Mus musculus: one gene and its partner. The protein of the gene in region 1 purifies or fractionates together with the protein of each later gene. This does not show direct contact. Links are inferred from orthologs where the notes say so. Each region holds a gene or a part of one and is shown on either strand. Other genes may lie near its edges. The genes, in order: Kcmf1 and Abhd10.

Region 1 (8,954 bases):
AGAGGTGTCATCAAGTAAAGGCAGTTGTCACACAACCCTGGTGAACACAGTACAAAAGCCATAGAATATGCAGCTCTATAGTTACAACACAGAAGTGAGCCCTAAAGTTAACTTACACACTGCTCCACACACCCTCTCACGCATGTGCACTAAATAAAAATTGGGCCAAAGCCGTATGATCCAAGTTGGCAAGCACTTGGACATCCACTTGTTTCTTATCGTTTTGTCAGCCCAGCTCAGGCTGCACTGCCTTCAGAGACTGTCTACAGACACAGCTTTCCTACCAGGCTTAGAGTTGAAGCCTGTGTCTCCTTACATTCTGGGTACCTAGCAGTGCCTTTCACATAGTAATGGAAACAGTCCAAGGATTTAAAGCTATCTGTGTTAACCCAGGTAACCAACTAGAACACCCATAACTGAGCTCATGAACTACATAATCTGACAGGTTTTTATTTACAAAGTTATTTCCTGATTTTCAAACTCTGAATCGCATACATTTTAAATATGTTGTTTACCAAAACATGTTAAGATTTTTTTTTTTTTTTTGTGGTACAAGATTTTGCTTCAACCTCCTGACAAGGGTGCTAGCAGCATAGACATGAACTTGAAGTGCTGTTTCTTGAACTTAAGTGCTGTCTTTTGACAGAGAAGTACAACTAGGATGGCAGTGAATTCCTAGGTTCAAAGGATCCTCCTGTCTTACTCTAAGAGTGGCTACAACTAATATTAGGTGACACCACACATGCTTCCTTTTATTTTCCTTTGGTGCTGAAAAATAAACTCAAAGCTTACGCTGCAGGTTAACCACGTACTGCAAGGCCAGGGATGCAGCTTGGCTGTAAAGTGCTTACCCAGCATGTATGAAGCTCTGGGTTCAAGTCCAACACTACATAAACCAGACATGGTGCTACGTGCCTGTTAGCTGGGAAGTTGAAGGAAGAAAACCTCAAGGTCACTCTTGGTCACAAAAACTTCAAGACCAGCCAGAAACCTATGACCCTGTCTCAAAAATAACAAGCAGAACAACACATGTGTTCCACAACTGAGCTATAGTCCTAGCCAGAGACAGTTTAAAAAAAAAACCTAGAAAACAGAAAATGACTGGGTTTGGTGTAAGACAGAAAACTAGATACTGTTGACAGTATCAACTGTTGACCACACAGAGTGACTTGGTGCTAGTACCTAAGAAATGTTTGCTAACATGGCAAGAACATTTCAAAATGAGGTGAAAAAGAGGCCTTGGAATTCTCCCCAGTCAAGTCATATAGCAACAGGAATTTCACTGTTGTGGAGACCCGCCACTCCACTAACACCTACCTGAAAAGGTGGGTGTTATTCACCAACCCTTCTGCTCCTAAGGGGCAGGAGTTGGTCAGTCAGTCCCTGTACTTGCTCAGGACCCAGCAGAAACAGATACACCAAGGGTCTGGGCCCTTTCTGGTCTCCCACCAGCTGCAGGACCCCCAGCTCTACAGCTCCAATAGGTCAGACAACTACAGAGCTTGGATCAATTTTGGCCTCCACCAGTTCTTGATGGGCCTCACCAGCTAAAAATGGCTTTTACATTTTTAAATGGTGGTGGTGGCAAGATTTCAAGGAACCATATTTCATGACACATGAAAATTTTATGAAATTCAAATATCAGGGTCCATAAAAAAAGTTTTAAGTGGAACACAGCCATAACCACTTGATTAGCTGGCTTTCCTATGACAACTGTGGTAGTGACAGATATAGTTGGCTAAGCCTATGTTTTCTGCTTGGCCCTCTACTTTAGAGAAAGTACGCTAAGCCTGGCCTAGAGCCTTCTCTGTGCCCTTGGCTGCACTGGTGTTTCTCAGAGTAGTCCAGTGCTTGATCTTGACAGGTGTTCATCTTGGGGCTGTGTGGTCCAAAGTCACATCATCTGTATACTACAGAGCAATTGGTTAGAGTTGGGAGAAGACAAAGTAACAAGTTACTTGTACACATGAGGCTGGAAAGCAAGACCTAGGCAAGAACATTACAGGCTGTACAGCTCTGCCCAGAATTAGACTCCAACATCCAGTTCTGGGTCAGACTCCCGAGGAAAACAACTGCAGAGAATGTGGAGGATAGATGATTAAAAGAGCTAAAAAACCAGACCACTAAAAAGTGTTGTGCTAGGAGAGGCTCAGGAGGGAAGCAGATACAGGAAGACTGGATACATGGGGGGGGGGGGGGGTGGGGGGTTGGGGGAGGGCTGAAAGTGTGAAGCCAGTCTCTCCTGTGCAGTGAGATCAGACCAGCCAGGAATGGGCACCATGATCCTGTGTCAAAAGCAAAGATGAAGTAAACAGGATTAGCTGGCCCAAAGAGAAAGGTAAGCAGAAAATCTGGGATTGTCAAATCCCTCCTGATGAAAATAATTACTGCCTGAAATAATATACTGCAAAATATTGACAAATCTCATGAACAGATGTGATTACTGAAACTTTTGACTTAGGCCAAAACCTAGACTCTTAAACTTTCTAACCCTGTTCAAGGTCTGAGAGCACACCCCTGTTGTCACAGTTTGGGGAGGCACAGGCAGGCAGGACTCTTGAGTTCCAGGCCAGCCAGGGCTACTTAGTGAGACAGTGTCAAAATAAAGAAAGAAAATAGTAAATTTAATTAATGTATTATGTAAATATAAAATCACCTGTCAAACATTGCTCAATACCTTCAACACATCCATTTAGGAAACATCTGGCATTAAATTGCCAAGAAAGGTGTTGGAAAGTTTCAAGATGTCAAGTAATTAAAAGGTACCCTTTCCAAGACTAAAGAGGGAATGATGATGAGCTTAGATCACACAATATTTTATTGAAGGATGCTATACCTACCTAAGCCATTTTAATTACTCAAACACACCATCTGAGGGTACTTTTTCCAGGCTACTGCTCATTAAGACTATTCCGTCTGCTTCTTTAAGGCGATTGCTATTCTGTTATTTTAATCTGGTTCCTGAGTTGGAGCCTGAACTTCATGCTCACTTTCACTTTGTCTTGAAGGTGGTCAATACACCAACTGATGCCATCTAAAATTAACCTCACCATCTCCAAATGGAATTTGACTACAACCTTAATGAAGACTTTTTTCAAGTGCGGTGATAAGGAACACACTCCCATTAAGCTTATAAAACGGTTTAGCAGGTGAGTTCCCAAATATTTCTTTTCATCTGACTGAGGCTAAATTAAGTACCCTGCTATTTATTTCAAAGTGACCAACACATTAACAGTTAGTAATCAAAAATGCCCCATGCTCTTCCCTATCATTAGGTTTTTTTTTTTAAATAAAAACTCTCCAAACATAAAATGATCAGAGTCAATCACAATCTTGCCTTTAGAAATGCAAATTCCGAAACTTTCACTAAATGTATGTTAATTGATCTGAGTTTGTCACCTTAGAAAAGCCAAGGTCTGTACTTCCCTAAGAATGCCCTTCCCTCGGCGATAAACTGCCTCCTCAAACTTTCTTCACTTCCAAAACACCTATACAGGATTTGGAAAATCTTAGGGACTCAATTATTTTCAGGTCACTTATACAATCTTCCATTAACCGTACCGAAATAAACTTTTCACTAAGTCGGTGACTACTTTTAAAGGTAAAACCTGCTGTAGTGAAACAAAGAGAACATAGCCCCCTCCCCCCTTCCTAAACCATATGGTAGTAAATTCAAGTTAACTTATTTTTTCGCCAGTTCATCGCCCATCCATCGGCCTGAAAACACTTGTGCCTTTGTGCCGTGGGGCTGGGACGCGAGTGGTCTGATTCTTAACCACAGAACCCCAGCGTGTTTCCACAGGGCACCGCGGAAGTCCAAACGCCCCCCGACTGGAAGCCTGCTTCGGTGGGCAGCGCACGCGGGTGAGGGCCCGGGACCGGCCGGGAGCAAGTTCCGCTCCGGCGAGGTGACGGAGCAGGGAGTTTGCTCACCGCGGCCGGGCTGGATCCGCCCCGGGAACTTGGCTTACCCGAGCCCAGGGACGCGCAGAGGCCTACCGCGAGGCCGGGCGAGCTCCAGTCACAGAGGGCTGCCCGAGCCCGAGCCGCGGCGTCTTCCCGCCCGCACGGCCGCGGCCCTCAGGCGGGGCCGTCGCTCGCCCGCGGTCTCCCAGAGACCGGACGCGCCCGCGGGGCCCGGACCCCGCTCCCCCTTGTCGCGGCCGCACGCCCGAGACCCGGCTCGGCCACGGCGCCCGGCTCTTCCGGGAGCCGCCGCAGCTAGGCCGCGCCGGGGCCCCGCGGTTCCCCCGGGCGGGCCGGCCGGGCCTCGGCGTCCGGTATGTGTCCCGAGGGCCAGGCTCCCGCCGGTAACGGGCCCCGCCGCTTCCCCTCCCCCTCTCCCGCCCCATGACAGTGCAAAGCCTCCGGCCGCCCGGCCGCCCCGCCTCCGGCTCCAGGCCCAGCTCAGGGCCGCGGCCGCAAGCCACGGTTGCGGCCGCCGCTCCCGCTCGCTCTTCGGGCCGCGGTGGCCTCGGGTTCCCCAGCCCCGCGACTCGGGCCCGGCCCGCGTCCCCGCCGGTGCCCCGCTGCCCTCGGCGGCGCCCGGACTTCGGGCGGGGTAGGCCGAGGCCCAAGCGGTGGGGGCGGGGGCTCGGCTCTCACCTTCATGTCGGGACATCCTAGTTCAGACGCTGGCGGCGCGGCCCCTCCCGGGCTCCCGGCTGCAGTGTGCCCCCACCGCGGGCTCCCGGCGCTGCCCGCGCCCGGCCGGCCGACTCCCACTCGACTCCCGGGCTCGGCCGCGGGGGCGGGGTGGGCAGGGGAGCGCTCCCGCGGCGGCGGCGGCGGCGGCGGCGGGGAGGCGGCGCGGGGCGGGAATGGGGCCGGGCCTGGCCGGGGCTGAGCTCCTCCAGGAGGCGGGTCCGACGCGGCCGCGGCTCCGCCGGCGCCCGCCGTGACTCGGTCACTCTCGGGCCCCCGCCGGCTCCCGGCAGCGGCGCGGCGTCCGCAAATCCCGCTCGTCCCCTCCCCCGGCCCGCCCCCCGCCCGTCCGTCTCCCGGCTCCGGCCGCCGCCTCCTCCTCCTCCTCTTCCTCCTCTTCCGCCTCCTTCCGCCCGCACGCCCGCCCCGCCTCTCGCCGCCCTGAGGCCCCGCGGCCGGCGGGCGACCGTGCTTGGCGGCGGTCCTGCCGCGGTCCCGCAGGCACCCGAGCCCAGCCGCGGCCCGCCACGCTGCGCGTGGGGAGGACGAGGACGCGAAACGCCCCCGACGTGGCTCCCCAGCGCCTGGGCGCGCGGCGGCCGGGCCATCGCAGACGTCCCGGGGACGTGTGTGTGTTTGTGTGCTGCTTTGAAAGCCGGGGACCCAGAAGGGAATGGCAGTCGGGCCTCCGGGGCTCGCGGGTCCCCAGACCCAGGGGGAGGCCGAGGCCTAGCGAGCCGGCTCGGCCGCCCGCTCGAATGCGCTGCGGGAAAAACTTGGTGGGCTTCGGGGGTACTTTGCTTCCGGCTGTGTGTGCAGGTCTTTCCCTCCACCCAGGCTCCTTACAGGCTACTTTCTCTTCAGGCATTGCTAACTCGACAAACACTTGAGACTACCCCTGACCACGTGTCAGTGGTGGCGTGGCGCAGGTAGAACAGATCGCGCCCTGGAGTTAAGACGTGTTCAGCCCTGGGATTCTGGTTCTGATATGCTCGGTGTAACCTTGAACAAGTGACTTAACCTTGCTGAGCCTTCGCTCTAAATTGGTTCGCTTTGGGTGGTTAATTTTGCCTTGGTAGTCTCGAGATTGGACAAAGTTCCCAGCTAAGTTTACTGAAACTAGGGTCCAAGGTACTGCTTGCTTTGGCGATTTTCCTAATTTGCCCACCCTCCACCGACTGTGGGACCTGGACAAAGCGTTGGTTGCCTTAGCTTCTGTGACTTTCAAAAAGGGCAAGCATATCAATAGATGCAGGAGAGATACAGTACCAAGATTCGACGTGTAGAGTAGCAAAGGAAGGACCCTATTTGTTACAATATTTTATTGAATATGATTTAAGATATGTCTGGTTTTGAAAATACTAAAAGGCTTAATCCGAGAGACTACATAGTAGGTCATCCCTGTCTACCCAAGAAACTAGCTGTAATTAAATTGGGGGTGGTTTTGAGGCATGACCTCAGATAGCCCGAGGCAGTCCTTGAATTGCTCAAGTAGCTGATTCTGACCTTCCCATCTCCCAGGGGCTGGAACGAAAGGCATCTTCCACCACACCCCCACCTAATTTGGGTTTAAATGAGGACTAGATAACAAATATTTCTGTTTCGGGTGTGGAATTCCGCACACTACAGACCGGCCTGAGGAAGACTATGCCTAGTAGGGCTTACAAAGGGAGAGCAGGGTTTGTAGTTAGCCTGATCGACATCCTGGTTAGTGGGTCCTTTCTGACAACCCTACACATTTTATTATTGGCAAGTGATCCTGGGTGTAAGCCAGTTCCCTGAACTTGAGCTGTGAAAGTCAGGCTAGCAGCTCTTAACGCATACACAGGTGGTGAATAATGGTTTTTTATAAATTTGTATCAAAGTTTGTAAGCAGTTCTGTAAAAATGCTGGAGCATTTAGAGTAGCCAACAAAAGCAACACTTCCAGAAAGGAATACCAGTAAGTATGGAAAAAACTGGGTGAAAATAGAAAGGAGACTATTGAGGAGGAAGAAGGGGCTGGAGCTGTGAGGTGAAGTGTGCCCCAAGTCCCAAGTCTACGGAAAAGTCACTCAGGGTTGTGTACAGGCATGATGCTAGGGGAAGAAACATTAAAAACAAGTCTTACTGTATTGAAGGGTTAGCTAGTTTTTTTTTTTTTTTCACCTGCCTCTGCCTCCCAAGTGCTGGGTTTAAAGGCCTGTGTTACCACTGCCCGGTAGGGTTAGCTAGTCTTGTTCATGGGAGGAAACATAGCTTGGTCTGACCTCCAAGGGACTACCATGTTTTTTTGACAGTGATTTCATTGTTAGTATCCCAGCTTAGCCGTGAATCTCCAGCTCTTCCTGCCCTAGATCTCCTTCCCATGCCTCCTTGGTTTCCCCCATGTCCAGTTGAAAGTCACAGGTATCTTTACCAAACTTACTGTGTTCCATAGATGGCCCAGTTCTAGTCCTTAAAACAACAGTCAGATAAATCCTAATGAGATTTAAATACCATCAGTAGATCAGCAGACAATAGCTGCACCTTTTTGTGTTTTTCTGTACTTCTTTAAGGTTTTAAGATTAGGGGGAAATGAGCCAGGCGTAGTGGCACACATCCTTTAGTTCCAGCACATGGGATGCAGAGGCAGGCATAGCTCCCAGCCTGGTCTCCATGGAGTGTTCCAGGACAGTCAGCAGAGCTACACTGGGAGACCCTGCCTCAAAAAGACAAAAAAAAAAAAAAAAAAAAAAAAAGATTAGGGCAAGTGTCCAAGAGAAGGGCCAGAGAGATGGCTCAGCGGTTAAGAGCACTGACTGCTCTTCCGAACCCTGAGTTCAATTCCCAGCAACCACATGGTGGCTCACAACCACCCGTAACAAGATCTGGCGCCCTCTTCTGGAGTGTCTGAAGACAGCTACAGTGTACTTACATATAATAATAAATAAATCTTAAAAAAAAAAAAGAGTCCTGTCAGTCCTGTTAAAGCATGAAATAAGTCACCTGGACACAAATGACGTGAGCAATCCTATGCAGCAGAGTGAGGCTTGGGGAGCTAGATAGTCTACTGAGGACTTTTGAGATCATATTCTCTACTGTACTTGTAATCTTGACATTGCTGGGTATGCTTGTCAGAGTTCTGAACTATGAACCTGTCCTTAAGCAAGAAAATCAATAGTGTCTGGGCTCAGTGGCTCAAGCTGTAATCCCAACACTCAAAAGACAGAGTCAACCTGATTTACATAAGAGATTTTTACCTCAAACAAAAGTATGACTAGAGGTAACTCAGCAGTTGAGCGCACAGAAGTCAGATGGCCTACAAACACCTATAACTTCAGTTCCATGGGTTCCAATGCTCTCTTCTGACCTCTGCAGGCACCCTTGTATGTGAGGCACACACACGTAAATAAAACTCAGGTGTCTGGGTTTGGTTTGTTAAAGAAAAACAAGTTCCAAGCCAGCCATCTCATAAGGAAAAAGTACTTTGAAAAAAAAAAAAGCAAGGTGGTGGCACACACCTTTAATCCCAGCAGGGCCATCTCACTCAGAGTTCAAGGCCCTGGTGTTCCAGGACAGCCAGGTCTACACAGAGAAACCCTGTCTCCAAAAACAAAAGACAAGCAAGAGCCAGGCATAGTGATACATGCCTGTTCTGGCATTTAGGAGTCAGGACAAAGCCAGCTAAGCTGCACTGGTACAAACAAAGAAGCACCAAAAGGTCTGGGGAGATGGCTCCATGGCTAAGAGCACCCAAGAGCAACTCACAGCACCCAGGTCTGGCTCTTCACAAAAGGTCTGGGGAGATGGCTCCATGGCTAAGAGCACCCAAGAGCAACTCACAGCACCCAGGTCTGGTTCTTCACAAAAGGTCTGGGGAGATGGCTCCATGGCTAAGAGCACCCAAGAGCAACTCACAGCACCCAGGTCTGGCTCTTCACAAATGCCTCCAACTCCCGTTCCGGGCACCTGTCACCCACCCTCTTCTGGCTCCAGAAGCACCAAAACACCTGTGGCATACGCACATAAATTGAAAGTTAAAAAACCAGGTGAGTTCCTGCGAGCTGTAGGTAGGGCTGCTGTTAACAGCCTGACGTGCTTTCCGCCATCCCGACTTTCTGCTGTGGCCCTTTGTCTCCGTGTCCCATGTTGATTCCTGCCTCTGGGCCCTGCACCTGCTCTCCATTCTGTTTATTGGGAGTTGAGATAATTCAAGCCCCAGTTTAAGTCCATATTCCTTGTACCTTACTTAGTAAGCTTTTCCTGTCTGCTCAGTTTGTGCTTGTTAAAGCTAGGTGTGTGATGTTTTTCATCTTTTTTGGTAGATTGAGGGGGGCAGGAACCACAGGC
Region 2 (8,337 bases), on another chromosome or scaffold:
CGCATGCGTCTCCGCGCCCGGGGGCGGGGGGGGGAGGAGGTGAACAAATCCCACGTGATGCTTGTAAGCAACCCCCACCCCCACCCCACCCCGCTCCCCGCGGACTGCGCGTGCGTGACCTCGGGACCGCGCGACCTGCGCGCGTCTGTAGCGGGCGCAGGGGCAGCTGGGAAGATGGCGGCCTGGGCCCCTTGTCGGAGGTGGGGCTGGGCGGCTGTGTCCTTCGGCCGGCACCCGGGCCTGAGCGCGTCACTAGCTCGGAAGCCCCCACGGGCATGGTGGCTCTCAGGTTAGTGTACGGAAGGTGGGGCACTGGGGCTCTTTGGAAGGCCCGGCGACCGTCCAGTGCCCGTCTGGAGCCGGCTTGGCGCGCCATTTAAAACTGCTCTGGCTGTCTCGGCACTGAACGCTGCTGGGCAAGGCTAGGGGAGTCTGCTTTTCTGCTGAGGCCCTGCGGCGTTCTTGGAAGTCCTTGTTAGCGGTTACACTGCGATTTAAGGAGTTCCTACGTCCTCTGAATCAAACGTCAAGAGCAGAAAGAAAAAAAATAAGATGTGCATTTAATGTGTTTGGTTATTAGCTGCTCCTAGAGCTTTTCATATGGATATATGTCAAGTGGTTAGCCTTGCCTGTCATGGACTTGAGGAAACAAAGTATGTATGTATATACATGTAAATGCTGTCTTTAGACCTAATATCTGATTGTTCTTGTTTAAAGAATTGGAGTTACTCTACAATGGAAGCTAAAATGTGGATCAGTAGTATTACATGCGTAGAATACATGATTTGTGTACATGTATAGTTATCCTTAAATAACATCCTTGGTGTCCTCTTCACATCTTGCCACACAGCTATTAGATAGCTACATAGTGCTTGGAATACTAATGCCATTATATAACAAGTTTAGTTTTTTCAAGTATGTAATCGGTTTAACTTAACACTGTACATACACACACACAAGTATGTCAGTTCGATAACAAGAGTAAAATATATTTTTAAATTTCTTTAACAGTATTCATTGACAATATATGCATCAGGCTTTCAGCTAATCTATATTATATAAAGATGATTTATAGATTGAAGGTTGGATCTGTTGTTTTATAGCTAACAAACATCACTTCAGAGTAACTGCCTGAAATGAAATTTATTTGTTGGGAGGTAATGTCTGAAAGGGGATAAAAGGATACTTTGAGTATATAATTAAAGAAATGGAAAATGAACATTAATATTGATACAATCTATTGACCAGTAAACTGATCCCCTGTAGCCTTGTTTTAAATCCAGTTTTAAACTTGGCACATTTTTCCAGAGACTAAAACCTTGAATCTGTTTGACACAAACAAGGGATAACTTTAAAGCATTTGATTCTTTGTGTGTGTTTGGGGTCGGGGGTATGGATTGTTGATGTTTGTGAGACAGGGTTTCACTACATAGCCTCTGTCTTTCCTACAACTCATTGTACAAAACAAGGTGACCTGGAAATGGTAGTGGCCCCCCCGCCTGTGGCTCTTGTGTGTGTGGTTATTGGGGTGCACTGTCAGACTCTCTACTCATTATTTTTTTTCTCGAAAATAAACTGGACAGATTAAAAATGGGAAAAAATCTTAGCAGTACACATGGGAGAGACCCAGGCGCTTTCATTAGCAAGATGAAGGGCTAGTAAGACTGCTTAATCTTTTTCTTTTTTAAATAAAGGACTAGCAAAGATGGATCAGCAAAGTAAGCCCTGTAAGGTTCCCCATTTGTCCTGCCATATGTAAATAGTTCTAAGGTATATATGTGTTCCATTTACCAAAAGCCAGCCAACAGAAGTAAACGCACCAGTTAGAGAGCTGTTTGAGAAGTGTATTTCCAAGAATGATACTTGATCCAAACTTATCTTTAAAGGAGCGCGGCCTTCTGAAACTCCACATGCTGGAAATGATGGTGCTTTGTTGCCAGTCGCTTGCCCTTCCTGGGGACGATTGCTCAATGGTGATCTGGTCATAAACAGCGCAGCACTGTGGACATCCTTCCCTCTTGGCTGCCTACGCTGACGACTGATGAGGGTTTTACCTCTGCTTCCCAAAGCCTGGGGTTGCAGGTGCCTAAGACCTTGCCAAAATTATTAGAAATAATTTGGTAAAGAGGAAAGAAAGAAACAAAAACACACATACATTTCTTTTCCCCTACTCATCTGGTCAAAGTAAAAGACATGAAATTCCTGAAACATTGTTAAAACAAGAAAGAAATCTCAGGGGAAAAGCTGAAAGTGATGTATTTAAATCTAAATGTTAATTGCTACTGTTTAGGATAATCCCATGGTGCCAACATGAAGATATTTTTTTGATGAATCTCTGTCTTTTGTTTCACTGAAATTGTTATTTCATTCTGTATTTTGGAAAGTATGATTGGGTAAAAAGGTAAAAATTTTGATGCAACTTTAAAACTTAAAATCTCATACTTGAAGCTTATTTTAATTTTCCTATCAAATGCAGTGGGTTAAAGTTAAAATGTGAAAATATGTGTGATTTTCCAAAAATATTTTTTAAAGTATAATTCACACTTTGTGTACTTTGTTTTAGCTTGCAGACAAAAGGCATCACTTTCTTTCCTTAACCGATCAGAACTTCCAAACCTGGCTTATAAGAGGTTAAAAGGCAAAACCCCAGGAATTATCTTCATCCCTGGCTATCTTTCTAACATGAATGGTATAAAGGCAGTAGCAGTTGAGGAGTTTTGCAAATCTCTAGGTCACGCCTTTATAAGGTAGGAACAATATATTTCAGATAATATATTACCATTTAGTATTGTAATGGAGCCAACTAAAGTCAATGCCAGCATTTTAGTAGATGGAGTTATTTCAATAGTGTGCAGACTTTGGTCTCATGATTTAGGGTCTATAGGGTATTTGTGCTGTGCTGGCTAGATGGGCAGCAGAGGGTGTCATCCGGGGGCTCGTCACTTAGTTGTTTAGATACAATGATCTGTGTGGCAAAGAAAGTATACCTGTTGGGTTTCCTATCATACCTTGTGATTATGGGTTTTGCACTAAAGACATAAAGAACTCATGTGGCCGCTGTTTATTACTCTCTACCACGGGTGTTTGAAGCTGAGAGTATAATATAGCATACCTCAGGGGTAGAGCATTTGTTTAGCACAAAAATCCCGGAATCAGTCCCTAGCACAACCCACAAAAGACAAGGTTTTTCAGTGTAATATAATATTGTAAGATTAATATTGTATAATTTACATTTCCGTTTTCTTTGTTCTTTTTTTATTATCTGACTGTGTGTGGTTATAAACAAGGATATTATATTTGTACCTTTTCACTCATTTTAATAAAAATGTATTGATGTAAAAAATTGGAATCTCTTACCAAGCTGTTTAGCCCATTAGCTGCAGCAGTAAGGTTAGGTTTATCAATACATTTTTTGATATTTTAATTTTAAGATAGTTTAATGGGGAACGCATTGGTGTAAAACTGAAGAAATAGAATTGAAAGAAGACTTCTTTAAGTAACTTATGAAGACATCAGTAATACTCAGTAGACACAGATATGGCAGGAGGGAAGTGGGTGGACAAGATTTACAAATGAACTCTGGGAAAAATAAAGGGCAGTGCTGTCTGTGGAGAGAGACCATTCATAATCTGATTCATATCTGAGGAGAACGTTCACAATCAGAAATACTGCTGCCATTGCTTTTCTTTGTCTGAAAAGTAATCTTAATAAAGAAATGAGCATCTTAGGGCTGGGGAGGCAGTAGTGAGTGAGGCACTTTCTGTGCAAGCGTGAGTGAGGATCAGAGTTCAGCTTTCTGCACCCAGCCCTGTAAAAGCCCAGTGGCTGAAGCTGCCCACCTGTCATCCCAGCATTTGGAAGGCAGAGAGAGGGATCTCTTAGCTGTTTAGCCCATTAGCTGCAGCAGTAAGCCTCAGGCTCAGTGAAAGACTCTACCTCAGTGTATAAGGTAGAGAGTGATCAAGGACAATACTTGATGTCAGCCTCTGGCCCCTACAACCATGTGTACATGTACCTATACCACATACATACATGCACCCCTCACACATGGGAATACATCCACACATATGCCACAACCCACATAAAATAGAACTCAACATTTTACTGAGTTTTGAATTTGATTTGAGACTGAGAGCTATAGCCAGTTCCAGGCATACTGTAGTTTTCTGCATATTGGATGCTATATAAATACACACTTATAAACAATAGCTCTTTTACGACAGATTCTTTAATTAAGTTCTTTTGTGTAGCATTGTAATAGTGGTGAGTGTAGGAACCTTCCGAATTCATTGTATGTCTACATGATTATGTGCTATGTGAGCATGACCATGCATGCATGTGTGCATGTGTTTGGAAGCCAGGAGACAACGCTAGTTGTTATTTTTCAGGAGTCATTCACCTTATTTACAGAGACAGGACTCCTTTCAGTGGTTTGAAGCTTCTCAAGTAGGTTAGTCTTGCTGGCCAAGGAGCCCCTGATCTACCTGTCTCTGCCTGCCCAGCACAGAGACTGCCTCAGGAAAGTTCACAAAATGAAGAGATGTGACTTCAAGAAGGACTAGTGACTGGTTTGGTGGGGAAGGAAGACTTTATTGGCAGTGGAATGGCATCCAAAGTTCATGGTTATAAAGGATCTGGCCAGGAATTAGGAAACAGTTCGGAATGACTTGTGATTTTGATAATCTGTGTCCATGATAGGATACCTCATAATTTATTGAGTTGGGACCTTGAAGTAAAGGTAAAACTCAGAGATTAGACAGATGTTGAGCTTGAATCCCTAGGAAAATTTAGAAGGCGGGGTTCATGGTGAATCTGATATGAATCTTGAGGAGCAGTAAGTGCTATGAAGAAAATACAGCGGGAAGGAGTGCAGAGCTATGGGAGAAGCGCAGTGGTAGCACGGGATGCTCAGAGCCAGCTTGGCATGAGCTGAGGCATCTCTAGTGGAAAGGAGAAGTGTGCTAAGTAGAGGTGAAAGGTCATGGTACAGGAAGGGGTGGTGCATACTGTTTAACTTCAAGCGAGAAAATAACAATAACTGGCGAGGGAAGGAGCTCAGGAAGAGATGAGGTCGGGGAAGCATGCTAAGGGCTTTGAGTTTTAGTAGCTACCCAGCATGCACTGTAGTATTTCATTTGGAAGGATCATTCTGACTACGAGAGAAACTGAGAATACCACTGCATTGGTCGAGTTGAGATAATAACGTGGACTAAGCTAAGCAGCAGTGATGATGGAAGAAAGTGATGGACGTGAGAGGTTCTTGGAAGTTAAGCCAGGAGGATTTACAAAATGCATGTTGACTGATGTTTACTGTAGTTAGGTCACGGCAGTAATGGAAAATGCTCTTCTTTGCTTTAAAGTCAAAAAAGCAAGCCTGGACACATTTCAGACACTGAGGTATAAACATATTTCTTCTTCTTCTTCTTCCAGGTTTGACTACTCAGGGATTGGAAGTTCAGATGGTAACTTAGCAGAGTGCACAGTGGGGAAATGGAGAAAGGATGTCCTTTCCATACTTGATGACGTAGCTGAAGGACCGCAGGTGACCATTTTTGTTAAGTAGACTGATCTTTGACTCAAGTGATATTTATTTTGTCTCTTTAGATATAACAATGGATAATATTTTGTCAATTTTGATAATTTCGATTTTGATGAACAATTTTGATTTAAAATTATTGTATTTTTACTTTCTAATAAGCAATAAGCACTTTAGTTCTCATTGAAAAATAACTTTGCTTTTATAGTTCTATATTATAGACATAATGACCTTACAGAAGTTAATTATATTGGGATACAGGGACAGATGCTGAGTTCAAGATGAACCTAGTCTACAAAAAGAGTTCCAGGACAACACAGTAGAAACCTGACTCAAACAAACAAACAAACAAACAAGTTAGTTTAATTGAATTTTACTTTGTGTTACATATTAAAAGTCTGCAAGGATATAAAAGATACAAAGTGTATATATTTCTATTAAATCATTCTCTTTATAGAGTATGAGAGTCCTCTTTGAAGTCATGCATACTTGTTTTTAGATACTGGTTGGATCCAGTCTTGGTGGATGGCTCATGCTGCATGCTGCAATTGCACGGCCGGAAAAAGTCATAGCTCTTATTGGTATAGCTACTGCTGCAGATGGATTGGTGACACAATATCATGCACTTCCTGTTGAGGTAAGTCATGAGCCATTTGGCCACCCCGGGGAGTACTTCCTATCTTCTGCCTTTTCTCTCTCTCTACTTATTCACCATCTCCCTCTACCTTACTAGAGTGACCTGGCTTTTGTCTTTGCTGCCCTATTGCTTGGTCTCTTGTTTTTTTTTTTTTTGTTTTTTTTTTTTTGTTTTTGGTTTTTCGAGACAGGGTTTCTCTGTGTAGCTCTGGCTGTCCTGGAACTCACTTTGTAGACCAGGCTGGCCTCGAACTCAGAAATCCGCCTGCCTCTGCCTCCCAAGTGCTGGGATTAAAGGCGTGCGCCACCACGCCCGGCTTGCTTGGTCTCTTGTTTTAAGGTTTCCTTTTCTCATTCCTCTTTCTAAAACATCCTGCCAAATGCATGAGACGTGGCACTGAAGTCATGCTTCACAGTGTCCTCTTTTGCTCAGTTTTCTTTATTTCCTTTACCTAATGGAATTCCATGTCACAGTCTACTTTTTTACCCTCTTACTCTCAGTTCGTGGTATGTGAATAGTGCCTGTTCTTACATCATGTGAGACTGGACTAAACAGATGTAAAACTACCTTCTTTAGCCCAAAAACAGACTTATGTTCTCTGGGCAGCAGTTATCAGCTAATTAGAGGCAGCACACCAGGGGTAGAGGGGTTTTTTGTTTTTTTTTTTTTTGTTTTTCTGGCTTTGTTGCTTTGTTAGCATTCTTTTCGAATAATTTTTGTGCTGCATCAAAAGAAAAGCAGGGCTTTTCACCAATGTTCTTCAGCGATTCATGGTAAAAATGAAGGGTCTGAAATAACTGGGAAGGTAGCTGTTCTCTTTAGCTTCAATTGGATATCCGTTTAGGCAGTGTTCTAGTTAGGGTTCCTATTGCTGTGATGGAACACTATCACCAAAGTTGGTGAGGGAAACGGTTTGTCTGGCTTGCACTTCCACATCACAGTCAATCACTGAAGAAAGTCTAGGCAGGACCTCACACTGGGCAGGAGCCTACAGAGGCCATGGAAGGGTACTGCTTACTGACTTGCTCTTCATGGCTCGTTCAATCTGCTTTCCTAGAGAACCCAGGACCACCAGCCCAGGGATGACACCAGCCACAAGGCTCTGGGCCCTCCTAAAAATGATGTCCAGACTTTCTACAGCCCCGTCTTCTAGAAACATTTTCTTTTTTTCAATTTTCTTTATTTTTCTTTTCTTTTCTTTTTTTTTTAAAGATATTTTATTTATTTTATGTATATGAGTACTCTGTACACTGTCACTTTCTTCAGACACACCAGAAAAAGGCCTCAGATCCTGTTACAGATGGTTGTGAGCCACCATGTGGTTACTGAGAATTGAACTCATGACCTCTGGAAGAGCAGTCAATGTTCTTACCTGCTGAGCCATCTCTGGAAACATTTTCTTAATTGAAGTTTTCTTTTCTCACATGACTTTAGATTGTGTCAAATTCACATAAAACTGTCCAACACAGACAGTTATGTGCAAGGACAATGGAATAAGCAACATCTATACTTTTGTGCATTTTTTTACTGCATTCATTTCAGTTTTCCTCACCTGTGGAACTAAGTTCCTGGTAAGCCAGAGACAATAAAAATTAAAAGGGAAAAACATTATTTCAAAATGGGTTCCAGACCCACTATCAATCTTGAATTTCATTCTGAATCAGACATGGGAGATATGCCCAACAAGTTCCTCCCCACAGTAGAGTTTGAGAATCAGGTTTGCAGAGCCCAGGAAGAAAGCAGCAGTGGGGAGGGGAGTCAAGGGGACACAATAAACGTGTATAACTTTGGATAATAGAACATTACTGATTTCTGCTTCAGGTTCTTTAAGATTTCAGCTGTGGAGCATCTGAGTTTGTTCTTAGTTCATGTTGTTCTCAGTGGCATTGCTGGAGATGAGGGGATAGCTCAGTTGTTAAAATGCACGACATACAAGCTTAAGAAACTGAGCTAACCCAGACCCATGCTGTTTTGTTTTGTTTTGTTTGTTTTATTTTGTTGTTTAAAGCTGATAGGCTGGGGAAATGGCAGAAGAGATAAAAAACACTTGCCCCTTGCCTGACAACCTGAGTTCTGTTCTTGGGACTGACATAGAAAACCAACTCACGTGGATAGTGCTCTGGCTTCCACACAAGCACTGTGGCACACACATGCATCCTCACCT

What was found.
Region 2: the proteins of Kcmf1 (region 1) and Abhd10 purify together in Homo sapiens (affinity purification with mass spectrometry; 3 studies listed by BioGRID and IntAct, counting the BioPlex papers as one, with this or other methods). This does not show direct contact. The link is inferred for Mus musculus from reciprocal best matches to the Homo sapiens genes KCMF1 and ABHD10.

The regions. Positions count from the first base shown.
Region 1 is NC_000072.6:72,895,009-72,903,962, forward strand, and holds the start of Kcmf1 (E3 ubiquitin-protein ligase KCMF1), read right to left. Parts: upstream 4,972-8,954; 5' UTR 4,622-4,971; coding exon 4,606-4,621; intron 4,285-4,605; exon of another isoform or gene 3,972-4,284; intron 3,918-3,971; exon of another isoform or gene 1-3,917. UniProt on the Homo sapiens protein: E3 ubiquitin-protein ligase which accepts ubiquitin from an E2 ubiquitin-conjugating enzyme and then transfers it to targeted substrates, promoting their degradation by the proteasome.
Region 2 is NC_000082.6:45,734,729-45,743,065, reverse strand, and holds the start of Abhd10 (mycophenolic acid acyl-glucuronide esterase, mitochondrial isoform 1 precursor), read left to right. Parts: upstream 1-110; 5' UTR 111-174; coding exon 175-289; intron 290-2,563; coding exon 2,564-2,747; intron 2,748-5,430; coding exon 5,431-5,542; intron 5,543-6,035; coding exon 6,036-6,173; intron 6,174-8,337. UniProt on the Homo sapiens protein: Acts as an acyl-protein thioesterase that hydrolyzes fatty acids from acylated residues in proteins.